6 linked regions of the Rattus norvegicus genome follow. The protein of the gene in region 6 interacts with the protein of the main gene of each other region in a pairwise test. Links are inferred from orthologs where the notes say so. Each region holds a gene or a part of one and is shown on either strand. Other genes may lie near its edges. The genes, in order: Ptpn11, Atpaf2, Stk16, Ntaq1, Pcmt1 and Rpia.

Region 1 (4,761 bases), on a different chromosome or scaffold from region 6:
TCACAATTCAAAACCAATTCCATGACAATAGCACTGTCGACAACGCAGAGCAGTTTCTCCTTAGCTGAGGAAAGGAGGTGCCAATTAGGCACGTGCTCTTTCAAATGGTTCCAAACTTCGCTTCTCAAAAGGCAGTCAGTCAACCCCGGCGAGCTTCTGAACACGGGTCCTGGAAACTTTCTCGTCTATTCTTGACATTTTAGGGAAGGGGTGAAAGTTCACATCTGAGAAAGAAACAAGTTACAACTTTTAGAGAGCACACATCTAAAAGCATGGGAAGCTTTACACCTTCTTTGGGAGATGCTGGGCACTGAAACTAGCATGTCACACACACACACGCATGTGCACACACACACACACATGCACACGCATGCTGAATAAATGCTTTCTGTTGAGCTACTCTGTCACTGACAGACATTTCCATGTGTGATACCATTCTGTGTGTTTCTAACTTACCACAAAAGACAGGGAGGCATCTCACAGAGAAATGACTAAATCAAAAAAGCCAGGGGAGCCTGGGACCCCACGTCCTCAGAGGCATCCCTGCTGTTGATGCCAAGAGGTCACAAACAACAGGGCATGTACCACCCAAGTCCACTCCATCCCTGTCAACTGCTGTGCCAGCTCCATCCCATGCAGTTAACTGATCTGACTTAATGAACTGTAAACCAAACCCGGCCTGGAGAGGGGCAAGGCAAAGAGAAAGGCTGGTTTGCACGACTCAATCACAGGACGTCTTGCTCTGGCACGAACAAGTCGCCTGCCTGTCTGGACCACTGTGGCCGGCCCCAGGGAGAGACTGGTGTCATACCTGCGCGCTGCCACCCGAAGCTCATCTGAAACTCCTCTGCTGCTGCATGAGGCCCACGTTCTCATAGACTCGAGCGCTGTCCTCCCGCATTCTGTAGACACACAAGAAGGAAGACACTTACCTGACTGCCATGTCCAGCTAGGCCAAGACTGACCCCTTCTCACCCAGGAGCTGGCTCTCAAAATGGACATCAGACACAGACTATTATGAATTTGGAAAATCAGCAGAGGCCCTGAGTCCTGTCTTCCAGAGTGTGAATGGAGGGAAGGCAGCTTGGAGGGCAGTGAAGGAGTAGGTGCACAAAAGACAGGAACTGTGGCCATTTCCACAGAGGCATCACAAGTGAGGGCTCCAGTCACCCTTAGAGCCTTGGATGAAGAACTAAAAGCACCCAAAGGCCTAGTCTCCTTCTGTAAAGAAGGCTATTAGCCAGCTGTGTGGGACAAAAGGATAGGATCTCTGAGCAGCCCTGGGGCCTAGGATCTCAGGTGTGCATCCCTCATGGGACAGCACGAAGGCAGATTGCCTGTCAGTCACTGGTGAGCTTTGTAGGAAGGGTGCTCACCCAGTAGTGTGAGTAGCGTGAGGTGCTGCTCCCCAGCAGGTTACTATAGCTATCGATTTAAGACACCAGTATCACCAGTCAGCCTGCTGGGGCAGAACAGAGCAGGAGGAGGGAAGGTGACTCAGGAGAGAACACCCTTCCCACATGATTTCATTTCTGTGTTTAACAGAGAGAGAATGTAAACACAGGCCTCTATCTGCTATCTATCAGAGCTGTGTAGAGCCAATATTAAAGTCAGCGGGGCTTTAAAAGCCCACAGCAGAAGCAAACAAGTGGGATTCCAGGGGAAAGTAAAAGTAAATGTTAGGGCAGAGAGCAACCTTGTGGTACAGACAGCACAGCTGCTAGCCACGTGACTGGCTAACAAATACTGCCCTGTGTGTTTTACTTTAACCCAAGAGCTTGCAAGGCCCTTCTGGAAAGAACCAACGTGTGATGACTCTACTGGCCAGAGAGTCCCTCTGTGTGCTATGCCTTGGGGTTTTCCTTTCCCAGGTTGCATGAGGGGTGGAGACATGTAAGTCTGGGCTCTTACAGACATCAAGCACTGGGGTGACAGGAGGAGCAGAGTGAAGGAAAGAGGTCACAGTAGACTTCAATCCTAACCTGGCCAAACACCCCTGGAAACTGTCACTTAAAATGCAGGGACCTGGGTTTCCTGGAATGTGAATGTGGTTTCTACTGGAGTCCTGCTTCTCCCGGGAGTCTTCAGTAGCCGGCTACAAAGCACCAGCTCAGAGGACTGGGGTGTTTTACCCCAAAGTGGCCTAAGGACACTGACCTCAAGAGCTATAAGCAGACTAACAGACACAAGGATGACGTGTAGACAGGCGCAGCCACGCTGCTGGTTCAATACTGTACCACCCGAGCTCTCCGAGCCACCATACTGGTGAGTTCTCACAGTGCTGTGTCAGTGAAAAACCAGTGAGCACCAGGAGCTAAGTTCAGTCCCTCTTGGGGTCTGACTGACAGAGCCTGGGCCCTTTCTGCTTCTGGGTGTGTCTCTAGTTCAACTCACACTCTGGAAATGTCAGTTTCCTGTCAAAGATGCACAAACCATTAAGATGGCATCATGTTGAATGCCTCTGGAACAAAACCTTCCCTGAGATCTGAGTGCTTCCAGGAGAGGTATTCATTCTCCAAGCTGCAAGGTCAGCAGGCAGCGTGCTCTTACGGCTCTGGCTGCAGTCTGGGGCAAGCTGCCCTGTGGGCTGAAGCAATGAGCTTGAAGCAGCGCCACGCAGCAGCCGCTCCTTAAAAACAATCTGTCTTCAGCAGCACTGCACCCCCTTCTGGCACTGCGTGGTGTGTGGGAAGAGCTTTGCGCCGTGTCCTGTCCCTAAGCCGCCTGCTGCTTCCTTTGCAGGATGCCCATTCGTAATGGCCCGCCATCTCCCACTAGGATGGCTGCCCCTGTGCAACTGTCACCTTGCTGGGTTTTGAGGGGTCTGTCTGTCTGTCTGTCTGTCTGTCTGTCGGAAAGAAGAACTCCTTTACAAGAGCAAAGCTAGGCCTGTAGGCTCTGGCTTTCTGACCTTTGGTTTAAAAACTCTTATTGGTAGATCATAGTCCTGTCCACGCATAAATATAGAACTTACTTATTCTTACTCAGAGTCAGAACACACTGTAAGGACAGCATTGCCTCTGAAATAATGCTAACTGCAAAAGGAAAACGCGATTTTCCCAGAGAACCCTTCCTAGCATGCTTAGGGCCCCACAGGGTCCTGGAGGGCCCAGCACAGGCCTCCTGGTTAGGGGCCTGGAAACCCTGCTGAGACATCGTCCACAGTCCCTAGAGATCCCCTGCGCCTGACCGCCCCATGTACCATCAGTGGGTAGCAAGCAAGCATGAGAGAGGAATACAGACAGCAAGCTTTGACCAGAGCTATAACGCCAACATCAATACTTACTCCGCACAGGGTGGCGTTGGGGTGCAAGGTGGCAGGGGACTCTGATCGCCACTTGTCTGGTCCACCAGGGAATACTTAATATTGGTATATTCATGTCCTTTCCTTTTGCTTTTCTGAAAGTGGGAAAAAATACAAGTAAGAAGGACTGTGGACTCGACTTTTAGAAAAACACAGGAATAGAAGGCTATTTCATCAAAGGAAACGAGAGAGAGACAGACAGATGGACAGACTAGACTCTTATGAACACTAACATGTTGACCAAACTGTCAGGAGCTCCCGGCCGGCCGGCCCAGCACCTGCAGGAGGAATGCGCTGTGAACACATCCCTAGGAGACCCAGAAGCCGGAGGGATGCAGGAACTGCCCACTGATGCAGACCAGAGGCCTTCCTCCTACTGCACGAGCTCTAATCACCGTGTGCAGGGGTGGAAGGCACAATAATGCACTTTATTTATTTAGCATATTGGCGATGGCACCCAGAGCCCTTGTACCATGTTGGGCATGTGTTGAGCCAGTGAGACACTCCCCCAACCCTCCAACCTACCTCCTATATACCTCAGAAAAGACCTCCGCATCCGAAGATGAAATGGTGGGGCAAGGAAACCAGCAGAGCAAATCAACAGGAAAGTAATCTCATCCCACCATGTGCTTGCGTGTGTGAGAGGTGTGAGCGCTCACACATGCCACACCCGTGTAGAGAGCAGAGAAGAGCCCTGTCGAGTCCGCTCTCCATGCACTGAATATCCGTTGACAATGCATTTGTACTGAGCACGCGCACACTCACCCTAAGTTCAAGGCCTGCCCGGCTACATGAAGACCACAGGAGGAGTGAGTAGGTTCTCTACAAAGCCAAGCCCTTTATACATGGGACAGGAGAGCCTACAGGCTTCATGTCTAAGACTAAGTCCCCTTGGATGCGGAGAGATGGACACACTATGCAAGGTGGCAAGGACCACTGAGCACCATTCATGGATGTGCTCCCAGGCCAAAGGCAACAAATCCGATCAAAGTGGGACTCTTCAGTGGCCACTCTCTCTTCACTCTGGATGCCTTCCATTCTGGAAGATGAAGCAGCGAGGAGAGGGCACTGCACATCCATGATCACAGCACCCAGGAGGAGGCAGGAGGAACAGGATTCTAACCTCATCTCTGGGCTAGAGATAAAACAGCAGTTAAGAGCTCATGCTGCTCTTACAGAGGACCAGGGTTCAAGTCCCAGCACCTACATATGATAGCTCACACCTGGCCAGCTTTAACCCCAGCTAGAGGAGATCTGACACCTCTCCCTTCACAGGCACCTGTGTTTGTGTGCACATAGACACACACAGACACATAATTATAAATAAGATAAATATTATAGAAGAAAGAGACCTTGTTTTAAATCCCATCTCTGAGACTGAAACTGGAAGGGCAGAAAGGTGGGGAGGAAAGAGCAAAGGATAAGGGGGAGGGGGACCCACAAAAGGAACTGGAGCA
Region 2 (5,317 bases), on a different chromosome or scaffold from region 6:
GCCTTTTTTTAAATTTTAGGTATTTTGCCTGCGCGTATGTGCACAATGTGCACAACTTGTGCCCAAGGCCAGAAGGCATTTGATCCCCTGGGATTTAAGTTATGGATGGTTGTGAGCTGCATGTAGGTGCTGGGAACCGAACTCAGGTCCTTGGGAAGAGCAGTGCTCTTAAGCACTGAGCCAGCACTCTACTCCCTACTGACTGCCTTTTACCTTGATAAAAATGTTCTTAAACTGATTGTGATGGTCATTCAAATTACTGAATATACACTAAGAAATGTACTGTATACTAAGTGAATTTTATGTATTAGATTTTTAAAATTTTATCTCATCTGTGAGTGCTTTGCCCAACTGTATGTATGTGTGCTGTGTATGTACTTAGTACCCACAGAGGTCAGAAGAGGGTATTTGATCCCCTGGAACTGGAGTTACAAATGGCTGTGAGTTACTATGTGGGTCCTGGGAACTGAACTCATTCCTCTGCAAAAGCAACACATGTTCTTAATCCCTGGGCCATCTCTCCAGCCCCTCAAGTCAACTAGATCTTAATAAAGGTGTTTAAAATTCTGCCAGGGCCAGAGAGATGGCTCAGTGGTTAAAGGTGCATATGTGCAAGTCTGACCCCAAGTTTAATCTCCAAACCCATGTAAAGGTAGAGAGCAGCACTCTCAGAAGCTGTTCTCTGATCTCCACATGTACACAGTAGCACATGTATGCCAAAATACATATGGACACAAACAAATGTAATAAAATCTTGCAGCCAAATACATCAGTGCACTATTTTCCCAACTGCTTTTCATCTGGAGCAGAGGTCAATACTCTAGGTTGTTCTGGCCAATATAACAAAATCAGACAATATGTATGAGTATGTGGCTGTGTTCCAATAAAACTTTATTTCAAAAGCAGGTAGAAGTCTGGTCCCTGACACGCCTATGAGGATGGCAAAGCAGGCAATGCCTCTAAAGTGGCAGAAACTTGGAGAAGCTGCCTTGGACAGAGGGGCAATTTGTACAGGACTTCAAGCTTTTATTTCTTTGGGAATTTGCCCCAAATGCTGCTTCTCCAAACTACATCTCCCTCTGGGCAGAAAACAGGAGGGTGGCCACAGCCTCACAAAGGTCTCTGCACCACACTACCTCCTCCTGTAATGCTGCAGTGAGCCCTTCGAATGTCCCTCCTCTCCACACAACCTTCCATGGTGTGGCTGTCCCTCAGAGACCTTGACAACTAGAGTCTTCATCAAGAAGGACTTAATAATTTATATGCTTCAGAGATACACAGAAACATCTCACACCTGGTGAGGACTTGGAGAGCAGAACATATCCTAGGGAGGCAAGGCATAAACAAAGACATTCGGGAGGTCACTAAATAGGCAAAGGGTTAATTTAAACGAGTAGACACTTTTTGTTTTCCAACATGGAAGTGCTTGATCTGCCATCTTTTCTTTTGTATACAGACTTACCAGTTGGCTCTTAGCGTTATCTAGCACATAGTAGGTAGTCAAATGTGAAAGAAAATAGGAATGTATGAGTGAGGCACAATGAGATATGTGGAAGTCAAGCCCTGTTCTCCTCCCCCTCCCCCATGACCCCAAGTGATCCTATCTCAGACTCCCAAGCAGCTGATACATGTGTGTGACACCACTAAGCTTCTTCCTAGCCCATTTTTAGGCCTTCGTTTATGTCCTGATAAGTAAAAATCAGCTCCCTGCTGCATCCACTCTTCTTCCACTTATATAAGATTATGGGTTATAGACCATGGAAATGGCTCACCATGTAAAGACACTGACCACAAAACCCAATATCCACAGTTCAATCCCTGAAAGCCACAGCCAACCCCTGCTAGTTGTCCTCTGACCTCCATGCACATGCCAAGGGCATATATACATATACATACTAAGTAAAACAAAAAATTATGGAATTTACAGCCTAAAGAATCCTTAAAAGCAATCTCATGCTTCAGATCACCAAAGAAAACAACATCATACCTGCCCAAGACCACAGTACCTCAGAAGTTTAGCCAACAAGAGACCCAAGGTTTGTACTCTTCTGCCAATGCCAAACTGCCTATGGAATTGTTGCCTAATGAGGGCAGTGTTGCAGCAAGATCTCTAACACCCAGTCATCACCTCTGGACATGCTACACCCTTTTCCTCCCCCAGCAAACTCTTTTTTTTTTTTTTCCTTTTCTTTTTTTTCGGAGCTGGGGACCGAACCCAGGGCCTTGCGCTTGCTAGGCAAGTGCTCTACCACTGAGCTAAATCCCCAACCCCCCCAGCAACCTCTTACTCATCTATCAAGCCCCAGTTTGAATGCCCTTTCAATCACCCTGTACACACTCATCCTTGTGATCTCTCAAGTCCTTCGTACTTCCCACATCAGTGTATTGCAAACTATTGTTTAGTGAGCATAATGAGTCCTGCATCTGATGTTGCGTACCATTCAGGTGAGACCACGTGCCCTCAACACAAAACATGTAACCCAACGAAGGGAGGGAGGCCATCATTACTTTTCATTCACCAAAGTGAACCTCACTGGTAAAATCTCACTCCAGAAGCAATGAGATAACCTTCTTTCAGGATTACAGTCCTTAGTAGGTCAAAGAAGCCTGGTATAAAGCGTCACTATAGAGAAGGCTGCAGAGAATGCAGAGGTCGTGGCACTGCACTAGGACAGAGGGCCTGCAAACCCTTAAGGAAGTGTGTGAGGGTGTTAGACTTAAAGCCAGCCTGCTCTGTGCCAAGTCTTGTGTTGGCTGGGTCCTGGAGACAAAAAGCAGTCAAGCTAATCTTTGCCTCCACAACTTCAACCAGTCTGCTCTGTGACCTTGGAAGTCCTGATTGAAAGCCTAGATTTTCCTTTCTGAAATCAACGAACTCCTGTTTCCCTTTAAAAGGAAAAAATTGAACCAGGTGCACGCCTGTAATTCCAGTACTCCGGAACTAGAGGTAGGAGGATCTCAGAGTTCGAGGCCAGCCTGATCTATAGAGTGAGTTCCAGGGCAACCAGGGCTACACTGAGAAACCCTGTCTTGAAAAATGAAACAAGCAAAAGGCGAAGAAAAAGAAAGGAAACTGAGAGAAGCCTCAGCCAAATATCTCCTACCCTGGAAACGCTGTGTCCCCTAAAGTCACTCCCGCACTGGTTTGGATGTCATTTTTCAAACTGAAACAGAGTTCTATTACTCTGAATATTCTCATGGGCCTGAACCCTGCCTCAGTCACCCCGCACTGCACGTCGGAAACCTTCCGCCAGGTGAGCCCGACTTGGCTCCTGAACAAAAAGTAACAGAAGTCCGGGCCTCACCTGTTGGCGGGACGTAGGCCCGGGCTGGAGGCCTCAGAGCTGGCCCCGGCCACAATGAAACGGTGGGGTCACCGAGAGGCCGGTCCAAGAGACCGCGCCACCGGTCCCTCAGCCGGGGGTAGATTCGCCACATCATGCCCAAGGGTTTGGGTGGACCCATACGTGAAAACAGTACAGGAATAGAGCGAAGAGAGTCCCCCAAACGCCTCGCTGGTTCCGTACGGAAACCTCTCACCAAGGGTTCAAAGCCCTCAGCCTCCTCAGCACGCCGCCATCTTCGTCATGACACCTACGGCACGCCGTCACAGCCACGCGCCCCCTGCGTACCGCCCCCGCCCCCGTCAATCAGCATCACAAGCGTGCTCGCCCCGCCCCCTCCATGCCGCGCTACGGGAAGAAAACTACAAGTCCCAGAGGGCCATTCGCGCACCGCACCACGTGCTTTCTCTGTCTGCCAATGGGCGGAAGCGCCGCGTGAGCTTGCTCCCGCCTCTCCGGCGGGTCCGCGCCAATTGGAAGCAGTAGAGTGTGTGTGTGTTTGTGTGTGTGTGTGTGTGTGTGTATGTGTGTGAGTGTGTGCGCGAGTGTGTGTGTGTGTGTGTGTATGTGTGTGTGCGCGCGTGTGTGTATGAGTGAGTGTGTGCGCGTGTGTGTGTGCATGTGTGCGTGTGTGTGTGTGTATGTGTGAGCCCGCGAGGGCAAGTGGGAAGGGGAGCCCAGCTCAGGACTGGGAGGCCCTGCTTGCAGGTCTCGGGGTCCAGGTGGCGACACGAGCGCTCGGTCAGCCGGCAGCGGGCGGGTGGTTCCCCAGCCCCTCCCCCGCGCGTGCGCGCCCGGGTCCGCCCTCCCCGCAGCTTCGGCTCCCGCGCGGCGGCGGCGGTTCCTTCCCCCTCCCCCAGCCCTGGCTCCGGGGGACCCCGCGATGCCGGTCCGCACCGAGTGTCCCCCGCCGGCGGGTGCCTCAGCCACATCCGCGGCTTCACTCATCCCGCCGCCGCCCATCAACACCCAGCAGCCCGGCGTGGCCACCAGCTTGCTCTACAGCGGCTCCAAGTTCCGTGGCCACCAGAAGAGCAAGGGGAACTCGTACGACGTAGAGGTGGTGCTGCAGGTGAGCGCCAGGCGGCAAGGCCCGGCCCGAGGGCCTCCTCGCGGCGCTCACGGGCCGGGCCTGCCCTGGGCTCCTCGAGCCCTCAGCCGCGGACCAGGCCCTCACTGCCGGGGCCTCCTGCACCCGGCGCCTCCCACCGGGACCTGCCCAGCTGATGTCACACTCTCGAACCCTACCCCTAACCCACCCCTAGACTCAGAGCCTGTAGCGGCCAGCCTCCGACAGACCCCGAAGACTGTCCCACACTTGGAGCCTTTGACTCTCCCGCTTGGGATCCGGAAGCACCCCCATGACTAGCCGTCCTTTAGCCTGGGTCGGTTCTTCCCAAGTCCTGTCCTGTCCTCCCTACACCAGCCAGCCCTCCCACCAATCCCTGTCGGATCCTGAAAAACTCTTCATTGGCTGCCCCAAACTCAGTAGCGGCCAGTGTCACATTCTCCCAGAATGAAGCTTTTCCTCTGACCCTAACTCCATCCAAAGTGCCAGGGACCTTGCTCCTTTGAGTTTGGAGAACTCAGTCAGCCCGCTGCTCTCGGGGCGACCGGGGCGAGGTGGGCAACCTCCCTCCATTGGCCGAAACAACCCACAAAGGTTAAGGCTCCCCAAAGACCAGGTACTCACACCCAGATATCTCCAGTTGCACCACTTAGTGTTAAGACCTTGTCTCCTGAGGCCTTCCAGTACCAAAACTCGGCGTCAGTCAGTTCATAGACATCTGCTGCTACACTGTGCTTCCTGCCCCAGGCTTCTTACCCTACCTTGCGCTATAGCTACTTTCTATCCCTGACAGTCGTGTGTGTCGTCGCCCCCCCCCCTTCCCCGCGGCCTCTCCCCAGACCTCACACCTTGGTCTAGCTGGTTGCCATTGCTGCCTGTAGTGTTGCTGATTTTTATCTACATA
Region 3 (5,391 bases), on a different chromosome or scaffold from region 6:
TTCTGACCAAGGCAAGCTAAAGACCTGCCTGCTGTCAAGCAGGCAGAACTCAAGTAACTCTGCCTCAAGACACCACACCAGTACTTCCTGTCAGGAGATACCCTTGGAAATGGCAACCAGAGTTCATTCTTTCCCTCTAGACACATTGACCTAAAATACACACAGACTGTTTTCACTTTATTCTACTTTTTATGTATTCTCCTGCTGCCAGATCTGGAGGCAGAACATGATGTGCGCCCAGCAGCCCAGCTTTGAGCCATATTTTCTGTTTCATCCCCCCCACCCCCAACTCACCCTAGGCTCCTTGCCCAGGTATTGGGATAAGAGCAGAATATACAAGGACCCACCATCCTTGCCCCTAATGGTGAGACCCATCTTGTGTAGATCAGAAGTTCCAATGAGGCATGAGAGCTGATTCAAGGTCATCTTCCCAATATGCTCACTGATTTGATCAGATTTGGGTGGTGTGCTGGCCAGGAGCTGGTGGCTGCAATGCCTCCAATTGACTGAGGAGGACAGGGATGTGAGGGCGTTGCTGGGGGTCCACAGTCATCATAGAGGCCAACAGCTGTCGCAATGCTGAAGAATGCCTGTGGGATGGGGAAGGCAGAGGACTGGAGGACACCTAGAACTGCTAGGATTCCAACTCGGCTGGCTCTAGGCCAAGTCTACAATGCTCAGTGTCCTCTTACTCCTCACCTGGGGCTTTGTGGGATGCTGAGGTCATTCTGCACAGCAAGGGCCACACTGTCACCTTTCTGGAACACCATATCATAAGGGCCTTCCCCAAACATCATTGCATAAAGCACACAGCCTAGGGACTGAGCATAATTTGGTTAGTTCCTGGAAGGTGAAAAATGGCATCTCTCTCCTTATTGCTATGGTAAAAGGAGACCATGTAAGCTAAAAATATGCCAACCTCGCTCCAAGGAACCATGTTAGCAGGAAGGAGGTCTGTGTGCCCCTGCTTAGCCAGTGCCTCTAGCAGTTCAGCCACAGTGATTGCACAGCTTCCTGAGAACAGTGTCAGTGATGGTTCCCAGGAAGGAAGTGGACGGGTATGGAGACATACTGTGGCTCTGGGGTTCCATGCAACAGAAACCAAGTCTCCTTCCCTTTAATCCAAAATAGTTACAAAGCCACACCCCTCTCCACCCAGGTTCCCACCCACATGCTCCTCACCCAGACATCAGTCCGCTCATCGATGACACAGTGGCTTTGCACAGAAAAAAGTTCAGGTGCCCGGTAGGAGATGGTGCACCGCTGGGCTGCCCAGTCCTGGAACAGTGTCCCCAGAGCTCAAAAGTGGAGCACAAGCCATATCATGTGACCAAATTGGTGCATGCATCAGAATGGTCTGGGGATGGGGAGGAGATGGCCAAAGAAACCTGGGGACTCTCTTACCTGTAGAGCTAGGGCCTGGCGAGATCCCTCCACTTGGATGCATGCTTGATTCATAGAACCCAAGTCCATTAAAACCGGCTGCCCCTCATCACCAAGCAAAATATTGGTGGGCTTCAGGTCCCTGGAGGGAAGTGAAAATGACCCAAAGGCATCCTGGGTAGGTAGGCTGGTATCCCAGGGAGCACCATGAAGAGAGTGCAGAGAAACCCCACTTCTCTTGGCATTGCTCTTTCCCCTGGCTTCAATAAGTGTAGGGCCCGCCCACTGACCTGTGTGCATAACCTTTGGCATGAATGGCCTCAAGGCCTCTGCAGATACCCAGCAACAACGGAAGGATTTGGTCTTCAGTCAGGAAGTTGCCTTGGTCCTTCAGCCTTTCTATCTCATTCCACAGTGTACCTCTCTACAACACAAGTTTTCCGTGTTGAGACATTCTGAAGCTTCCATTTCCCAGGATTCTATTTTGTGTTGAAGTCTGTCAACCCTTTTACCACATACACTCTCACTGATCATTTGGGGCTATGTGTGATGTCAAGTTCATAGGGGATCCTATGGTTCTCTGAGCCCCAAATATAAAGTGGCCAAAACCAGGGTGTGTGTTCCTAGGGTATTTATATTTGACTGCCCACAGAGCCCTTGGTGGGGTTGTACAATGCTACAATCCCCTCTATAACCACAAGCTTTTCTGACCTTGAAGAAGGGTAGCAGCAGCCAGGCTTCATGCTTAGCACCTCGTTCTTTCAAAGAGTAAGCCATGAGGCGAAGGATGTTTGGATGCTGGAAGAGGCGATGCATGTCTGCCTCTCGTTGGGCCTCTTCCTGGTCCTGCTGCTCATGACACAGGATTCGCTTCAGGGCGTAGAAGTGTCCATCATGTAAGCCCTCCACTAGGTCCACGTAGCTGAACCCACTGTGGGCCAAAGGGGTCGATGAAGGACCACGGTCGTCTCCCATATGGCTTAGACCCCGAGAAATTCCCTTAGGGAAGGGTGCCTCTCACATGGAGTAGAAACCCTCCCACGATGTAGTTCTCATATAGTTTCAAGACGTTAAGGTCTGCCATCTTCAAGAGCAGGGGCACAGAAATCACTGAGACCCTTTGGTCTGAGCATAAGATGCTCAATTAATTTCAAGTAACAATCAAAATTTAGTAAGTGCTCATGAGCCAGGCACTGGGTGACATGTTTTAAAGAATATACTATCTAACTTAGTTTTCTCACCAGTCCCTCAGTGAGACATTATAATCATCTCCGTTTAAGCAGAAGAAACCAGTTTACTTAAGGTCACACAAAGTAGATTCAGGAGGCCAGGGCCTAGAATACAATTCTTGACCTATTCAGCTAACCGGTCAGGTGAGGTAGAATCTAAGGCTAATACTCTTGTGTCCCTATTACTGCCCCTAAATGACCTGGGTCTAGCTAAGTGACTTCCATACACTCACCCCTCCCCCAATTTCTGGACGAAGAGGTAACGCTTATTGTCAATGATGACAGTTCCCCGGGAACAGACACACAGTGCATGGCCCATAGCGTCTCAGTCATCCTCTTCAAGGATGGTCTTTCTTCCAGGGAGAGTGGGCTCTTCCAGACGATGGGTTGGGGTCCCGGCGGATCATGCTGGAATGAAAACAGCAGGTCGCGGGTAAAGAACAATCCAGACAGCCACTGAGATACCAACCAGTAGAGCTCAGGTTCACCTCCGAGAACCCAGATTCACATCTAAAGAAAACAGTCCCTGGTGACTCCAGCTCTAAGAAGGCTGAGTTCTGGCACCCCAAAGCCTCAGGCCACGCTGTGTCTTACCAGGCCGCTTCCTTCAACCCCGGCCCACCTTCGGCCAGGTCCAGCTCTCACACCCGTGAGGCATGGGGTGGCGCAGTAGGTGCGGGACTCGAGCCCACCTCTGGCCGAGTCCACCCTCCGTCGCTGAGGACCGAGCACAGGATCTGCCAATACAAACTCTTCAGTGACCTGGCTCCTGCCTGTGCAAAGGGCCAGGGACCGGAAGCTACGGTGACATCATCAGTCCGCGTCGAAGTAACGGCCTGCTGTATCCTAGCAACAAGAGGCGGCAAGAGGATGTGGGGACCCGGAAGTGAGAGGCCGGGGCCGGGCTAGACCTGGGGTGGGTTGGTTTCTATATCTCGCCGAGGGTTCCCACTTGCCCTTCAGTAAGGGTCAAGACGCAGGGACTTGTACCAAAGGGGAGCAAAGCAGGGCTCTGCCCGAGTCCCCTAGGACCTCCGTCTCTCAATGTCGGAGGTAGGAGGCCTTATAGCTCCCGCGCGCTGGAGTTAGAAAGTGACTTATTACAATCTAGCTTTGAGGAGGGACCAGAGAAAGGCGGGTGCTGACCCTTAGATCCCTGGAGGTCTGACCCCTTAATACTTTTAGGGGTCTGGCCTGTGTTCCACTACCTGGCCAGTGTCAGAGTGTGCCCTTGAACTAGATGCCAGTTTCTAAATCTGGTCCTAACAGTCTCCTAGCTTTGTCACCTCCAGGAATTAGTCTTTCAGATCCGCATGTTTCCCAGCTGTAAGTCAGTACCTACAGCAAAGTGTTGTGAATTATGAGGCCAAAGTGACTAGTTCAATCCCAGCTCTACTGAACTAGTTGTGACTTTGGACAGTCACGTAATATTTCCAACCTTCATTTTCCTCGTGTGTAAGATGAGAATGAAAATCATTTCATGGGCTGTTTCAAAACTAAATGAGATGTCTTTTGTACAGTTTTTGAAACATAGCCTTCAGTGTGTGTTAATAAACAGAAATTATAGTATTTTCTACCCTGACCCTGAAATCCACTGGTGTGAAGGCAGAAGAAATGGAAAATTAGACTTCTAAGCTTATGCAGTTTTCGTCACATCTCCTGCCTAGACAGACAGGTATATATTGGAAAGGGGTGCGCCTTAAAAATAAGAGTGACCAGAACAGGCTCCTTGTAACCCATTTCCCCTTTTCATAGTCATGATCACCATGAAGATTTTCTGGTTTCCACTGTTTCTGAATCCGTTTTGACCCTACTGCTACCATTCATATAGATTTAGCCTGATTTGTGCCAGATCCTTTGCTAGTCATGAGGACATAAGACGCCGTTCCCGCCCTCCGAGAGTTCAGCGTAGAAGAGCAAGCTTGTTAAAGTACAGACTTTAATTCTACAGGTCTGGGGTAGGACCCGAGATTCTGCGTTTCTAACTAGCTCCCAGGTGATGCTAATGGAGTTGATTCGGGTTCAGCACTTCGAGAAGTAATATATAGAGGATTTTACAAACTAGTGGATGGTGGAAGGCTACGGGCAGAGTCCGGGTTAACTGGCCTGAAAACTTGAGGTGGTCTCCGCCCCTTTGCTTGATGAGGTTCCCTCCCAGGAATCCGACACGTGACGGGTGGGAAAGCCCTCACTGAATAGAAGAACTTTGTAAGGTCCGAAGATGCCACCCGACCTGCCTTCCCTGCTCCTGCGGCTTGTGATTCTGCTGCTGCTGTCCCAGGTAAACCGAGAGGGTCAGACTGCCTGTCTGGGTGTGGGGAGGGAAAAACAGAAAACAGTGGAGAAATAGCTAACTACTGACAAGGCCAGTTTTATCTCTTAAGCACTTGGCAGACACTGACCCTTACTCCCGACCACTCGAGCCAGACTTTTGCCCTTCCAGGCAGAAGCTCGCTCCTTCGTAGTGGATCGGCAACATGACAGATTCCTCCTGGACGGGGTCCCGTTCCGCTATATTTCTGGCAGCCTGCACTACTTTCGCGTACCGCGGGTTCTTTGGGCCGATCGACTTCTCAAGATGAAATTGAGCGGCCTCAACGCTGTGCAATTGTAAGAAGTGCTCGCGAGAGCTTTGTGAAAGCGAGGTTTACTCTTCTTTAAAATTGGGGGGGGGGGGTTCCCCAGGAAACTGACTGGGTTTGTAAAGGGTTTGAGCTCCAGGACCCCTCAGGCAAGGGTGAGAAAGGGCGGCCCAGAACCTCTTTCTAGCTGCATCTCT
Region 4 (5,291 bases), on a different chromosome or scaffold from region 6:
TTCAAAGCAATGGTAACCCTAAGACAGCTGGAGTGGAACACCCACGTAAATAGTAACTTGAAACTGGTTCCTGTTCATTGAGGAAGGGAAGGGCTAATAGAAGGCAGATCAGTTTGCTGGAGTTGCCAAAGTGTGGGACGATGTGCAGTTGCAGGGCAGACAGGTAACCCCTAGACCATGGTGTGTGGGGGTAGGTGGGTGGGGTTGGGTGTGGTGTGGGGCAGATGAGGGGGAGTCTGAGAACAGCGGGGTTGATTCCCACAGCACCTGGGGCAAGAGTGCTATGAGGGGAGGAAAGAGGATGAAGGCCATTGTGTGATTGCTGTCCACCTACAACTGCAAGCATGCTTTCCCACGCTCTGGTGTCTGTCCAGAGCTGACCGCACTGCAGGTTAGGCTGATCACACATGATGGACTGAACTAGCTCTGGTCTGCTCGAAACTGCAGGGATTCTTGCCCTTGCAAAATCTTTCCATCCTTCTACTCAGAAAGCTTAACCTTACACTCATTTTACCAACCAAGAGAGGCTTCATGACACCCTCCCACACACCACTGAGCCTCTGTTGAATTGAATATTCAAGCTGAAGCAATAAATTGGTAACAGACACAAACACATGTTTAGTTCTTAGGATTTATGGGTTTTGGAAAGCAGCTAAACTTCACCAGTATACCACCAGCACTTTATGGGATTTGGGCCCCAGAAGGCTGAGAGTCTGGGTGGCCTATAAACCAATCTTAAGAGGTTCAGTTTTTGCAGGGACGTTCTGAGCACTTACAGCACACACAGGAAACTGGGATGTCTACAGAGAGTTCTCTGTGTCCTTCATTCACCCTGAATAAACACTTTTAGCAATTTGGTGTCTTTCCTTCTGAAAATAAATATGGTTAACACAACATGCTATCCAGACTCTTTAAATAAATTTTTTTAAAGAAAAATTCTTTTGTAGTCCAGGCTCACCTTGCACTCAAAGCAATCCTCCTGCCTCAGTCTCCTGCATGCAAGGATGCAAGGACTATCCGACACCACACCTGGTTAAAACTTTTTTCTTTAAAACACACACACACACACACACACACACACACATCCAGATTAAAAGAAATTAAAATACAATATGGTCAGATTTGGATGCACTCGCTCAATTTTAGTCTTTCCCTCTTTCTCGGTTCCTGCTCGACTTCTAAAGCTTCAGCTGTCATGCCCAAGAATCTCTTACTTTAGGGTTTCTTCTGGTTTCATACAGCTGGCAACCTTAGCTGGAGAATAGGGGTATCCGGAAACTCATACCTAACACTGCTACAACACAAGCAATCCCTCCACCTGAGGGCGACTAGGTCCACGCAGCGCAGCTCAAGAACCGTTCGGTCGGAGGCGAGAGAAGCCTCTGAGTGGATCCTACTCAGCCCCAGGCTCCACCCACCATGTAAGACCTAGCAAGAACTACACAGTTCTTGGTGTCCGAGGATTCGCATTCCCAGCCGCCACTCCAGCAGTCCCGCCCCACCCCACCTTAGGCCCCACGCCCACTCATTCTCCCAGTCCCGCCCATCCGGAACCACGCAGTCTTCGTCGTCCCGGGCTCCGCCCTACGCTGCACTGGGTCCCGCCCACCCGGCTCCCGGCTCCCGGCTCCCGGCTCCCGGCTCTTCTACCCGGAAACTGTCCTGGCAGTCTACACTCCTGTCCTCTCCGCTTGGGAGATTGGCAACAATTGTGGCTAGCGGGTTGTTTAGTTGTTCTGTGAGCCACAGTTTCGGGTCATGGAGGGGGACAGCCGCGCCGCCACGGCCTCGCAGTACCAGCCGGCCTGCCCTACGCGGGACGCATGTGTCTACAGCAGCTGCTATTGGTGAGGGAGCGCGGGCGCGGTCCCCGGGAATCTGCGCGTCTTCGCGCGCCGCCACCAATGCGTTCCTCTCCCGGTCCTGCTCCGAGCGCGGCAGGCCCACACTGCCCGGGTTTGGCGCCGGGATGAGGAGGTTGGGGAACGCATTTCTGGTCTCCATAACTGGGCGAGGGCTGTGGGGTGGAGTTGAGGCGTCTTAGTGCACAGGGACGAGGTAGCGGAGTTAGACTGGAGACCCTACGGTAACTGTTGTGGTCTGTGTTGTTTCGGGTTGAAATAGAGGTCTTTTTAATTTTAAAGACAATGGAGACACAGAGTTTGTGGTAGCCGGAAACCCAGTCCATGCAACTGGCTATCCTGATCACCGAACTGGCGTGATGATAATGGTTACATTTGCACTGTCCTTGCCATATGCCAAACATTGTTTTGGGTGCACGGTGTAAATTAACTCAGTTGAAGCTCACAGTAACCCCAAGAGGTAGGCTCTGTTGTGATCGCAGCTTTGAAGAACTCTGAGGCACAAAAGGGTGCTGCTGTTTTACACAAGACCTCAGGATTGTGAGGTTAGTGCCCTTAGGCTACCTCTGCAGCTCAAACACTGTCCACCTTGGCTTTTTGGCTCCCAGGCCTCACCTTCCTTTTGTGTAGGGACTGCTTCCCCAACCCAGAAGAAATCTCAGGATCATGTAAACATACTCCTCCTCACTCTACCAAGGATACTAAGAACTTAACATTCATTCAGCCGTGACCACTTTAACCCAAGTCCAGTTGCTTGCTCTGGTTCTCAACTGCCCAACACTGCAACCCTTTAATACAGAGCCTCATGTGGTGATCCACAGCTGTAAAAATTTCATTGCTATTTCACAACTAATTTTGCTACAGTTATGAATCATAATGTAAATATCGGATATTTAACCCCACGACCCACAGATTGTGGGTCCACAGAGAGTGGATGGTAGAGCAATGTCTTGGAGACAGGTTCTATGGTAGTTATTGACAGAACAAAGGCTGAACCATAGAATGATTGTGGTTTGCCTCTGACCACACAACTAAGTGATGGAATGAGATCTGGAGTCTACATGGTGGTTGGAAGTCTTTGCTTTTTAGCTGTTGCATTGTATATCTGCTCCACTTGGTTTCCATTGCTAGTTTTTATCTGGAGCATTTCTGTATCTTTCATTTATTCAGTAAATATTTTGTTGGGATGTGAAATGTATGTTGGTTGATTCTGTCTGTGCACTGAGGTTTTAGCAGTAAAGAATGTGGATAAATTTCCTGGCAGTGCCAAGGAGCTAGGTCCTGGTTTCTAAAAGGGGTGTTTGGGATCAGTGAAAACAAACTACTTGGGGGTTGGAGAGATAACTCAGTGGTTAAGAGCACTGACTGTTCTCTTCCAGAGGTCCTGAGTTCAATTCCTAGCAACCACATGGTAGCTCACAACCTTCTGTAATGTGATCCGATGCCCTCTTCTGGTGTGGCTGAAGATAGCTACAGTGTACTTATATAAATAAAATAAATACATACATCTTAAAAAAAAAACCCCAACAAACTACTCAAAGTCAAATTGTGGGTCCAAGCTGCTGTCCTCTGCTGAGATGGCTCTCTAGATTGGGCTTTCGTTCTCTCTCTCTCTCTCTCTCTCTCTCTCTCTCTCTCTCTGTGTGTGTGTGTGTGTGTGTGTGTGTGTGTGTGTTTTCTGCTCCAGACAACTTTCAGACCACTCTGTGTGCTCTGCTCTAGACAGCTTTTTCTTGCTATTCTGAAAACCTTCCAGTTGAGACAGCTAGCTTTCTGCTCAAGACAGCTCTCTCTGTTAATAAAAATTCTAAAAGCTCTTTGAATAGCTCATGGATTTTCTGACCAAAGTCAGAAATCCTGTTAGAAAAAATTGAAAAGTAATTCTTGGGTTTTCTGATCAAGATCAGAAAGCCAGCGGGGGAAAAATTCTAAAAGAGCTATGTTTGCTCTTCAGACAACCTTCTCTGGATAGCTGCTGGAAAACATTCCTAAACAAGCTGTGTCAACTAAATAAATCCTATGAGAAAAAATTCTAAAAGAGCTATGAAAAATTCTGAAAGAGTTGGGTTCACCCTTCTTGGATTTTCCCACCATGTTCTAAATCCTGTTAGAAAAAAATCTTGAAGAGCTGTTTTTGATCTCCAGACAGCTCAGCTCTCTAAGAACTGCTACTGCTTATTTCATGAAGACCAAAAGCCCAGTTTTTAATTTGCATATCAATTCCATTATTTATTCCAGGTTCCCTTTTGATCCCTATGAATCCTGTGACCCCAACCCCTGAATTCTTAGGAGACAGCAAGCACTTTTTGTTTCTTTTTTTTAAAAAATATTTTATTTATTTATTATATATGAGTACCCTGTAGCTGTCTTCAGACACACCAGAAGAGGGCATCAGATCCCATTACAGATGGTTGTGAACCACCATGTGGTTGCTGGGATTTGAACTCAGGACCTCGGGAAGAACAGTCGGTGCTCTTAACCACTGAGCCATCTCTCCAGCCCTCCTTTTTTTTTTTTTTTTTTTAATATTGCAAAAAGAATTCAGAGATCCGCCTGCCTTTGTAAACTTGGCTAGGTGGGACCTTGTCCTGAGATTACCGTTCCGACCACAGCTGGACCTAAATTCTCTCTGTCTGAGGCTGATCTTGAACGCAGGAATCTGCCTGCGTTTGTATCTGCCTGTATCTTTCCAACAAGCTGGCACGTAGTATAGCTGCCTCTGTTCCTTTAGACCTGTGAAACTCCTTTATACAATTCATATTGCATACTTAAATTTTTTGTGTAGTTGAGAAATTATATATATATATATATATTTTTTTTTTTTTTTTGGTTCTTTTTTTTTTCCGGAGCTGGGGACCGAACCCAGGGCCTTGCGCTTCCTAGGTAAGCGCTCTACCACTGAGCTAAATCCCCAGCCCCGAGAAATTATATATTTTTGAGCTCATGTTTTTAGGGCTCTTGTTCCACAGCCTTAAGGGTTGTCTCGAAGGTCCCAGTGTTTACCTTTTTGTTGAGACATTAGCCACACCTTCGCCTCCTGGACTCAGACTGTCTTGTCTGTCTCTGATTATCACAGAGTCATTAACGTTGACTGGTAGGCCATTCCTCAGGGGAGTGTGAAAATGTACACAGTTGTACAAACAAGCATTATGCCCAACCTGCTAGCCCTGTCCTAGGAGCAGGAATCGTGGCATTCTGTCCTACCAAGGCCATGCCAGATCTGGCAGGTCAGGATCTCCCAATTCTTATGTTTCAGTGTTGGAAAGCAGACAGCTGTACAAAGGCAAGGCGTGTCTGGTAGTCAGGGCTGTGAGGAGAAGAGGATGAGAGGGAAGATGGTGGCTGGTCCTGCTTTATATTAGGCTACTGAGGGAAAACATGGTTGATGAGGTAATGCTGAACAGAAATCTGAGGGAAATGCATAGGCAC
Region 5 (4,761 bases), on a different chromosome or scaffold from region 6:
CCCTGCCTTCACCTCCCAAGAGCTCAGTTTACAAGCATCATGCCAGCTTGGTGCTTCAGTCCTTGGTTCCTTTCTTTTTGAGAGGGTTTCCATATGAGCCCTGGCAGGCCCTAAACTCAGCATCATTCTGCCTTAGCCCCCCCAAATAGCTGGATTTACAGGCTTACACCAGGAAGAATTTTCTTCATATTTATAAAAGGAAACCCTTCATAAGTAAAATAAGTATGCAAAGTCTTAGCAGAATAAGTCACATCTAGGACAACACTTTAACAGGCAGACGGCCAGCTAGCAGACTAGTAAAGCTCTTCAATGTGCTCCTCTTTTGCCGTCCAATGGTAAATCACTGTCTTGTGCTGAGTTTCAGACCATGTTTCTCTTCCTTCCGATGTTACACTCTCAAGAGTTATTTACCTGCTTCTGCCTCTGAAGCAGTTTTCACTGAGCGGTGGTAGCAGGTGCCTTCGGGGTTCAGAAGCTCCCCAGGATCTTCTTGCTGACTGTCACCGTGCTTCAAAAGAAGACATGGCAGCTGGCCGACAGAACCTGAGGCACCTCTAAGCCTCAAAGGCGCCCACTGCCAAGGCTCAGCAGCTCAGCAAAACCTGCTTCAGGACAAGGAATTAAATGCGGAACTTTCTAAAGACAAACGAAAGCCAAAGCGTCCATGGGGCCAGTGAAGCAGACCATCAGTGACTCAGTTACCTATTCCTTTAAATACTGATTTTAAAAATCAATGCTAATATGCAATTTCAAAGTCAGGGATCCTCAATAAACAGCACTCAGCTACAACTCTTAAATTTTCATTGAACTTTTGTTTTTCCTTAAAATATTCCCAAACTTACTAATTTGCATAAAAAGATGCATTTTGCTACAAAAGGTGGGTTGGGATATAAAACTGGGCAACAAAATTTCCATTAATGGGGTTATAATCTATATGTGTATACTGCTCTTTTCCTAGTCATAAAATTAGAGTACATGAGAAAAATGTGACTCTTTAGAAATATAAAGCTTACCTATTGACTGTGGAGAATCCATGTAAGGGTTAGATTTTGCATAGTGGGAGCGGTCTGTAGCCAGCATCACCTCAAATACTTTATCTGTCTTGATGATTCCATTCTCTGAAATGAATGAGACAGATATTTTAAGCAGATGTGACATCAGACATATTTCAAAATTACTCTCTCTGGCTGCACTGCAGAGGTCAGAAAGCAGACAAGACCACTGCCTGCCATGATCCAGGCAACGTCAAAAAATCAACATGAATGGGCAGCCGAGGGTCACACAAGGAGCACTCAGAGGTCACGACACGACACGTGACACTGAGGTGCAGGAGAGAGTCCTGAGTTAGAAATCTATTGTGGAGGCATCGAGATGCAGCTCCCAGGCAGGGTCAAGTAAGGACTGGTGACAGGTACAAGTAGGGGCTGGAATGCCGCCCTTGAGAAGAAAATGTTTTTCTTTGTTTTAAATGTTAAAGTATGTTCTGCTGTGTCCTGTTTCTGTGGAAGCGGTTCTCACACTTTCTTGGTAATGTCAAGTTTATTTTGATAATAAGAAGAGGGGAGATTTGTTATATGAATATTTTGAGAAGAAGCCTTTGTTTAGTCGTATTTCTTTGTTTAGTCTTGCCTCAGTTGTTCCTGGTATCGTGGGAATAACGATCTTATGGTATCTTGCCAAAATGGAAATTGTGGTAATGCATATTCATATCTACATAAAGATTAATAAAGCTTGCAACTGTGTGCAGTTGCTTCTGCCTTTGCTCTACACCCTCTGTGCCCTGGTGGTTTGCGACTGTACCCAGGGCCCCCAACACACTAGACATTGACAATCTAAGTCTCCATCCACACTGGTGGTAACTGGAGTAGACAAGAACACACAGAGAAGGCAAATAAAAGCCAGTGCAAGGCAGATGCTGCATAAAGCAGAGCCTTCAGAATGAGGAGCTGGGTAGGTGGCTCAGGACTGTAAGGGAAGCAGAGGCAGGACCATTCATATGGATTGAAGGCCAGCCTGGGCTGCAGAGTGAGTCCCAAACTAGACAATGCTACATAGTAAACCCCTGGGGTAAGAAAGGCAAACAAACAGAAGAACTAACCATGGATGCAGAGGCCAGGTAAAGGCTCAGCGGACACAGTGTTATACAGTCTAAAAGAACCCAATCTTTGAGAAGAAAAATAAGGCCAATTGTATGTATATTTCATGTACAGCTAGTTATGTAATATTGTCTGTTAAAACTTCAGTGGGTATGGTGGAACATGCTTTTAATCCCAATGCTTAGGGGGCAAAGACAGGCAAATTCTTCTGCGTTCAAGGCCAGCCTGGTCTATATAGCTTGTTCACAGTAAGACTCTCATCTATTTAAAACAAAACAAAACAAAAAACTTTCAATAACTCTCATAAACCCATGCTTACAGCTACTTAATAAAGCTCTTACTTCTCTCTTAACTGTGTTCACTGGCTATGGGACATGACAACCTCTTTCCCACAAAAGGATAAACAAAACAGCCTAGTTACAGAGCTACAAGCAGTAAGATTGAATGGTCTTGACTTCCACACTTCTGGAGAGAAATAAAGTTTTCTTGCTCTTTTTGTTTTGCTCTTTAGAGACAGGGTCTCACTATTTAAGTCCAGAGAGGACTTAAACCTACCATTTTTACTCAACATCCTGAGCACTGAGGTTACAGAAACACCAGCAAGTTCAGAATAAATAAAATGTTTAAACCAAAAACATGCTTTGCTTTATTTGACTACATTATAAATAGCTATTTTAAAATGAGGTTTCAGTAAAAGCAACATGAGTAGCTTAAATATTTATGCAAACTTATGTCATTTAGTCATCAATTGTAGAACTTCCAATTTTCAAAAATTAATGTTGGCCATCCAGCTGCTCAAAAAAGACAACAAAATAAAACCCTAAATCTGAGATCAAGAAGGGGCAGGAAACAAAATAAACATGGCCTACAGCATCACCATACCAGGATAATACCAAAGAAAGAGGAAGCAAAAGACACAGATTAAACAATGATGAAATCATTCCCCCCAAAAGGAAGTACAGTGCCAAGTACTGTAGAAGACAGGTTAGTGCTCATGGGTAAGCATAGGAGAGCCTGGGGTGTTAAGTGCACAGTGTTCTTCTTCAAGGGACAGAGTGATTGAAGCAGATGAGCTTTCTAACCTTTGTGCTATCTGTGTGATCAGAGACTTTCCTGGCACCCAAAGCTCCCCAAGACCCTTGTTGTAAGCTTGTTTTCTCAGTCAGTCAAGAGATCCTATCTTTATAGACTTTACAGAGTTTCAATGCAGTCATATATATCTGACTTGTATTTCACCCAATTTTGTTTCTCAAGATTTATGTTGTACACCAGGATTGAATTAATTACTACCAGAATATTTTTCACCAAATTGTGTTCTGATTAAAAATGCCTACAATAAACAACTTTAAGTCAGACTCGGAAGTTTGAACCACCAGCAGCAACTGTTTTGAACCAACAATGCCTTTCTGCCTCCCCCCAGCTCATCTCTCTGCACCCCATTAAGGCCACAGCGAGTGCCCCTCCCTCCTCCCTCCAGAAGATACTATAACATTCAACGTACTTCTAGGGTTTGGAAGAGCACAGTGCTGGCTCCAAGAAATGCCTCATAAGTCACTGGGCCAATGGTGCCAAGACCATTCAACAATAAAAGAACACTTATTTTTGAAAGATTTACTTATTTAATGTATGTGAGTACACTGTAGCTATTCTCAGACACACCAGAAGAGGGCATCAGGTTACATTACAGATGGTTGTGAGCCACCATGTGGTTGCTGGGAAATGAACTCAGGACCTCTGGAAGAATAGTCAGTGCTCTTAACCACTGAGCCATCTCTCCAGCACAAAAAGACTCTTCATAAATGACTCTGAGACAATTAGAGAGCCACAAGCAAAGGGGCTTAGCTTTGGCCTTCCCTTATGACACATATAAAACTTAATTAAAGGCAAATATTTTAAAACTAAATACAGAGCCAAGTGAATCTGTGAGTTTAAAGTCAGCCTAGTCTACAGAGCAAGTTGAAGCCAGGGCTACAAAGAGAGACCCTGTTTCAAAAACCAACAAAACAAAACAAAATTCCATGCCTAAATATAAAAGCCATATGGTAACCTTCAAAGAAGAAAAGATGATGAGGGGTTAGAGATTGCTCGGGGGTTAACAGCACTGGGGGCTCTTGCAGAAAACCAGTTCTGTTCCCAGCACCCACATAGTTCTGATGCCTTCATCTAACCTCTGTAAGCAGAAGGCATGCACAGGGGCATCTTCATGCAGGTAAAATACTCAAAACACATAAAATAAATCTAAAAATATAAAAGAAAGCACTGGGTAAATATTCAAAACTTTAGATTTCACAATAGATTCTGAAATATCAAAACAAAAGCATCAAAACTAAAACAATAAAATAAATTGTGCTTCAAAAAAACCTCTAATCAGAAGGCTTCATAACTGATGGGAAGACCAATGATTTGGTGGGAGAAGGTATTTATAAATCTTTTATCTGCAGAGGTTTAGCCAGGTGTGATGACAGGTCTCATATGTCAAATAAAGCACTTGGGAGGCGAAGGCAGGAGGATAACAAATGCAAGGTCATCTTCTGCAGCGCAGTGAACTCGGGGCCAGCCGTGTAACATGAGTCTCAAAGAACTCTTAAGACTTAGTGCTAAAAACAGTCACTAGGGCTGGGACTCAGTAGTAGAGGGCTAGTCTAACATGCCTCAGGGTTCTGGG
Region 6 (4,761 bases):
TACAGTCATGAGTCCCTGCGTGGGCACAATCTAGTGGTTCATTAGTGGAGACAGCAGTACATCCTCCCCTAGGGACTTTAGTCATCAAGCACTGTTTTAAGAGGTGACCTAATTCATTTAATCCCCACAGTGACCCCACGAGGTGGGTACTAGTTTTGGCCCTTTTTAAAAAGGAGAAACTGAGGCATGGAGCTGTTTGATAGGGGACATACTGCTCATACTGCTAGAGCATGGCAGGGTTAAAAGTCCATCCAGGCAGTCTGTCCCAGCATCCACTCAGACACTGCACTCTGAAAAACTGCCCAGCTATGGCTTCGATTGCTCGACTGCATGGAGAGCGATGCCTTTCGGTCACCTCCTCCTGTATATCCCTCCTACATCTGACCTGCCAGACTGAAGCCTGAACACCAATTCATCTCTATCCAGCTCACCCAGCCTTCACCCAGGTAGGTAGGTCCTCAACTCCTACGATTATCCTGTGGCATAAAGTCTATGCTTACACATACAGTCTCACTTGAGCGAGTGAGCGTTCAAGTTCAGGGTCTTGGGGCTGGAGAGATGGCTCGGCGCTTAAGTGAGCACACTGATCTTGTAGAGAACCAAGTTCAATTCTGAGCACCCAAAGCAGAAGGCTCACAACTAGCTGTAACTCCATCTCCAGGAGATCAGACGCCCTCTTCTGGTCCCTATGGGCACCTGCACTTAAGTGCACATACTCACACATATAATTAAAAATAACACAAATCTTAAAACTTCAAGAGACAGAAAACCTAGAGCTCTCACCTTGATGTCGTAGTTGTTAGGCAAACCACTTAGCTTAGCTCTGGGCCCATGTGGTCCCCTGTTAACTACCTCATCTAAGTGGGAATTTAATAAAACCTTTTAGGATGCTAAGCACTGTCTAGAAGACGTGATCATGTACACAGATCAATACCATATCTAAGAAACCACCCTACCTGACAAAGCAACCCCTGTGGACTGGACTTTTGCTGTTCCTCCAGCAGAAGCAGCACTTCAGCATCTGCAGACGTGGCTTCACACAGCCTCCCCCAGGTTTACATCAGCTCTAATCTAGGACTAATTCCATGTAATACAGGCAAGGCATCTTGCCTATGATACACAACCAGTGAATGCAGGTGAACTGAGTCACCTCCTCCACAAAGGTCGAAGAGGCTGCATCAGCCTCCTGGAAAAGGGAGGGGTCTCTCCCGGGGATGGTGACCTTATTTGAAAGCAAGCACCTCTGACTGCCATCAGCTTGGAGGCTATCCCAATGCCAACAGACTATAAAATATATATACATCAGCACTATTTCACAAACCAGGGGGAGGGAGGTGACTCAAGTACAAAACCTCAGACATGGTATAAACTGAGCACATGGTCATGCTGCCTTCTGTGGCCTGAAGAGGGGGTAGTTATGAAGGGAGACACTAGGTGACATCCAGGGAACACCCAGCTTACCTGGAGTCATCTTGATAGCTGTGTTCACTTCACCCCATTTATGTACCCGATCGAACTTCCAGTCCAGGATAAAATTCCCATTATCTGTCACCACAGGCCCCTAGAAGACAATTTTCCAATGACCAAGGATGAAAACACAGGTAGGCAAAAGCAAGAAAGATGACAGCCAGACAGATGTCCTTGCTCTGTGCTTCCTAGAAGGTGGCTCCATGAAGCAGAGATGAGCAGGCACTTTGGAGTCCTACAGACTATGATTATGTCTTAATGCCATTGAATTCTCTGAAACTTGTTTCTTCAGTGGCAAAAAGGGGGACAGAGATGCAAATGGGAAGGGCTCAAGGCAGTGACATTTTCAACTTAGCAGAGTGAAAACCGAGAGTATTGCCTGACAACATGGCTGCATCTCCAAGCTTAGCACAAGCAGCAGTGCTGTAACGTAAGGCTGCCTGCCTTCTCGCAGCACACCTTCTCCATCGGCAAGTCTCATTAAAAGGATGGGCGGACAGACAGATAGGTGAGGGGACGAACAGTTTAGCTCTGAATCCAGAATTCCTCAACACCACTGGACACTAGAGAAATCAGATTGCTTAGTAACATAAATGTTGACAGTACACAGGCAGAGGTAAGTAAGTAGTAAGACTCCTCTACAGCCTGGCATGGAGCAGTTAAAACTGTACAAAGGCAAACCAGGTGTGGTGGCTTCTATGTCTTATCCCAGCACTTGGTAGGAGGCAGAAAGATCAGGAGTTCAAGGTCATAGCAAGTTCAAGGTAGCCTCTCTAAGTACTAAGATAAGGTGCTGCATAACCAGTTATCCCAGCTTCTTTCTAAAGAGAAGTCAACAAAGTATGTCAGGGCAGTTATTAATCATTTCATTTTCTCTATCTCCCAAATTTTTCTAATAGCTACACATAGCTACACATATTTCAGTTTGGGATCATTACATTTGGTTGTTTATTTAAATATGAAAGAAAAAGTTCTTTGTAACCCAGACTCAGAAGCTAAAGAGAAACATCTCCACGGGGTATCACATGTTCACACCACCACCACCCCCAGAAAGTCTACCTCCTTAGTGATGAAGTACTTGCCTAGCATTTCCTGAAGCCTTGAATCCAATGCCTAACTGGAAAAAAAGAGAGGGTAGGGCTACCTTGTACAGAAAGTTCCTGGAAAAAAACCATCTTCCTCTAGCCTTCTGTACTTGGATTGACCAATTGGAACTTCAATGGCTTTGGAGTTTAGTATAGACTGCTACTAATCCACAGGCAGAATATCTTGGGCCATCTATACTCTTTGAAAGGCAAATGCACTGTGGTTCACACCAATCAAAAGGCTAAGAATGCTACCAGAGCTAGGGCAATGGTGGGGCTTGCCTTTAATCCCAGAGGCAGGCAGCTCTCTATAAATTTGAGGCCAGCCTGGTCTAGAGCTAGTTCCAGGACAGAAATGGGGGGGGGGGGGGGAGGTAAAATTTCCCCATTTTTCTATGACCTACCTACCTGGTGTTTCCAATGTATTTGAAAAGTGTCGGGGTTGGGGATTTAGCTCAGTGGTAGAGCGCTTGCCTAGGAAGCGCAAGGCCCTGGGTTCGGTCCCCAGCTCCGAAAAAGAAAAAAAAAGAACCAAAAAGAAAAGTGTCATTTGTGACCTTTGTTTTGTCTCTGTACAAATTTAAAAGTGTTACCTCACTGGAATGCAGAATTTGGAATACCCAAATGTGTGTTCCCAGGCCACAGTTATTCCTATTTGCTCTAAAGTAAAATTATCTCTTATCCTCTTTGAGATGAGAGTTGTACTCTTGCAATGATAGCCTCAGAAAGAATAAAAGAAAAAAGAAAAATACCACACCACAAACCCTGGAAAACTTTGTCCCCTCAGAGCTTCCCAAAAGACAGTGTTTAGAGGCCATTCACAGGGCAGTCCAGACCTCAAGCAACCCCGAGCAATGTCAGGAAAGAACCACGCCCCCTACTATGGAGGAAACTGAGAGGTTAAGCGAGCACCAAAGGCTTCAGGACCTAACTGACACAGAAAGAACAAGAGCAGCACACTGAGTCAGGGTGCTCTGGCCACTTACTGCCTTGTTGACAGCCATTCGAAGTTCCACCTCACCCCCAAACTTCTGGGTCACAGCTCGACTCACTGGGACATAGGCCATTGGGATGACTTCAATAGGAATCCCCTTGTGCCACCGATCCCCAAGGTTCTTTGAATCTTTCCTGGGAAAAATATCAATGAAATTAAATAAGTTCAACATACAAAACCAAATTCAGGCTAGGGGCTACCTAGACAGCTGGAGGGGAAAGAGACTAGGACAGTTCAGGGCTGCTTTACACTAAAGAGACTTGATAGACAAAAGTGATAAAATCTGCTCTGATGGTTTGCCAGCTAACCCCCGCCGTCCTTGCAGCTGTGGTATTTCCTGAGTAATACAAATGCAGACAGCTCTTCTAACAAGTTCAGAACACTGCCTCCTCTCTCAGGCTCCCAGAAAGAGAATCAGCCCGGTCAAAGACTGAGCATAACACAGTCATGTGTGGAAAAGCCTGACCCCAGAGGAAGCAGGATGTGCTGAGTCACCACCTATGGACGGTGCTTGCCCTGCTTCCTGAGGCTCCCTGTGAAAACCTAATGAGTAACACATGCAGAGGAGCTCTGGCTACAGGGTGACACTGCTTCCTCCCCATCCCCAAACATGAAGGCCCAGCTCAATGCAAGAGTGCTGGGTGCTGTGGTGATTAGCAGAGTCACTGCCTGTCATCCTAGAGAGCAGGTAATCCTCCTACATTCCTCCACAGGCTTCCTCCTCTAACGTGGGAACCCATACACCTTCTCGGTTCAATCGAAAAACCCTGGAACAGTACCTGAAATCAGCGATCACAATGAAGCGACTGGCATAACCAGCCACAATCTTCTCCTGGGTCAGGCAGCCTCTGACAGGAAAAAAGAGTGAGATCATCTTCATTTGAGAAGTAGGATCAGATGTGGGTGTCCCAAATGTGTTCAATCCTGATACTTAAAGAGAAACTGGCTTCCATTTTTAAAGAGCCATCCTCGCTCCTATAATGCTACTTTCTAGTAAATGAATACAGAAACATTTGCCTGTGTCTGGTAGAAACCTAGAAAGTAGACAATGGCTCTATTCAGGCTAAGCACTTCCCCTCCAACAGGCATCTAAGAAGCACTGTGTGAGGGAGATGACTCTGGACATGTCCTGAATAGATGCCCAGTTTGGAACACCTGCCCTGTGGACTATGTGACAGCACCAGGCCAGCCATACTGAACTGTCTGGCCTATTGC

The links.
Region 1: the proteins of Rpia (region 6) and Ptpn11 interact in binary tests that used the Homo sapiens proteins (3 or more experiments, as listed by UniProt). The two-hybrid records come from large-scale screens. The link is inferred for Rattus norvegicus from reciprocal best matches to the Homo sapiens genes RPIA and PTPN11.
Region 2: the proteins of Rpia (region 6) and Atpaf2 interact in binary tests that used the Homo sapiens proteins (3 or more experiments, as listed by UniProt). The two-hybrid records come from large-scale screens. The link is inferred for Rattus norvegicus from reciprocal best matches to the Homo sapiens genes RPIA and ATPAF2.
Region 3: the proteins of Rpia (region 6) and Stk16 interact in binary tests that used the Homo sapiens proteins (3 or more experiments, as listed by UniProt). The two-hybrid records come from large-scale screens. The link is inferred for Rattus norvegicus from reciprocal best matches to the Homo sapiens genes RPIA and STK16.
Region 4: the proteins of Rpia (region 6) and Ntaq1 interact in binary tests that used the Homo sapiens proteins (3 or more experiments, as listed by UniProt). The two-hybrid records come from large-scale screens. The link is inferred for Rattus norvegicus from reciprocal best matches to the Homo sapiens genes RPIA and NTAQ1.
Region 5: the proteins of Rpia (region 6) and Pcmt1 interact in binary tests that used the Homo sapiens proteins (3 or more experiments, as listed by UniProt). The two-hybrid records come from large-scale screens. The link is inferred for Rattus norvegicus from reciprocal best matches to the Homo sapiens genes RPIA and PCMT1.

The regions. Positions count from the first base shown.
Region 1 is NC_086030.1:41,077,494-41,082,254, reverse strand, and holds part of Ptpn11 (tyrosine-protein phosphatase non-receptor type 11), read right to left. Parts: intron 3,400-4,761; coding exon 3,287-3,399; intron 903-3,286; coding exon 833-902; 3' UTR 812-832; intron 225-811; 3' UTR 1-224. UniProt on the Homo sapiens protein: Acts downstream of various receptor and cytoplasmic protein tyrosine kinases to participate in the signal transduction from the cell surface to the nucleus. Positively regulates MAPK signal transduction pathway. Dephosphorylates GAB1, ARHGAP35 and EGFR.
Region 2 is NC_086028.1:45,716,909-45,722,225, forward strand, and holds the start of Atpaf2 (ATP synthase mitochondrial F1 complex assembly factor 2), read right to left. Parts: upstream 3,600-5,317; 5' UTR 3,466-3,599; coding exon 3,306-3,465; intron 1-3,305. Other genes in the region: Gid4 (glucose-induced degradation protein 4 homolog), read left to right, coding at 4,228-4,416. UniProt on the Homo sapiens protein: Plays a role in the assembly of the F1 component of the mitochondrial ATP synthase (ATPase).
Region 3 is NC_086027.1:84,152,295-84,157,685, reverse strand, and holds Stk16 (serine/threonine-protein kinase 16), read right to left. Parts: upstream 3,402-5,391; 5' UTR 3,207-3,401; intron 3,021-3,206; 5' UTR 2,932-3,020; coding exon 2,846-2,931; intron 2,315-2,845; coding exon 2,095-2,314; intron 1,808-2,094; coding exon 1,674-1,807; intron 1,526-1,673; coding exon 1,405-1,525; intron 1,279-1,404; coding exon 1,183-1,278; intron 822-1,182; coding exon 700-821; intron 591-699; coding exon 452-590; 3' UTR 170-451; downstream 1-169. Other genes in the region: Glb1l (beta-galactosidase-1-like protein precursor), read left to right, coding at 4,834-4,893, 5,056-5,222. UniProt on the Homo sapiens protein: Membrane-associated protein kinase that phosphorylates on serine and threonine residues. In vitro substrates include DRG1, ENO1 and EIF4EBP1. Also autophosphorylates. May be involved in secretory vesicle trafficking or intracellular signaling.
Region 4 is NC_086025.1:91,572,241-91,577,531, forward strand, and holds the start of Ntaq1 (protein N-terminal glutamine amidohydrolase), read left to right. Parts: upstream 1-1,618; 5' UTR 1,619-1,758; coding exon 1,759-1,847; intron 1,848-3,746; exon of another isoform or gene 3,747-3,808; intron 3,809-5,291. UniProt on the Homo sapiens protein: Mediates the side-chain deamidation of N-terminal glutamine residues to glutamate, an important step in N-end rule pathway of protein degradation.
Region 5 is NC_086019.1:3,947,068-3,951,828, forward strand, and holds part of Pcmt1 (protein-L-isoaspartate(D-aspartate) O-methyltransferase), read right to left. Parts: intron 1,119-4,761; coding exon 1,014-1,118; intron 579-1,013; exon of another isoform or gene 412-578; intron 1-411. UniProt on the Homo sapiens protein: Initiates the repair of damaged proteins by catalyzing methyl esterification of L-isoaspartyl and D-aspartyl residues produced by spontaneous isomerization and racemization of L-aspartyl and L-asparaginyl residues in aging peptides and proteins.
Region 6 is NC_086022.1:104,286,478-104,291,238, forward strand, and holds part of Rpia (ribose-5-phosphate isomerase), read right to left. Parts: intron 4,395-4,761; coding exon 4,326-4,394; intron 3,681-4,325; coding exon 3,539-3,680; intron 1,562-3,538; coding exon 1,462-1,561; intron 1-1,461. UniProt on the Homo sapiens protein: Catalyzes the reversible conversion of ribose-5-phosphate to ribulose 5-phosphate and participates in the first step of the non-oxidative branch of the pentose phosphate pathway.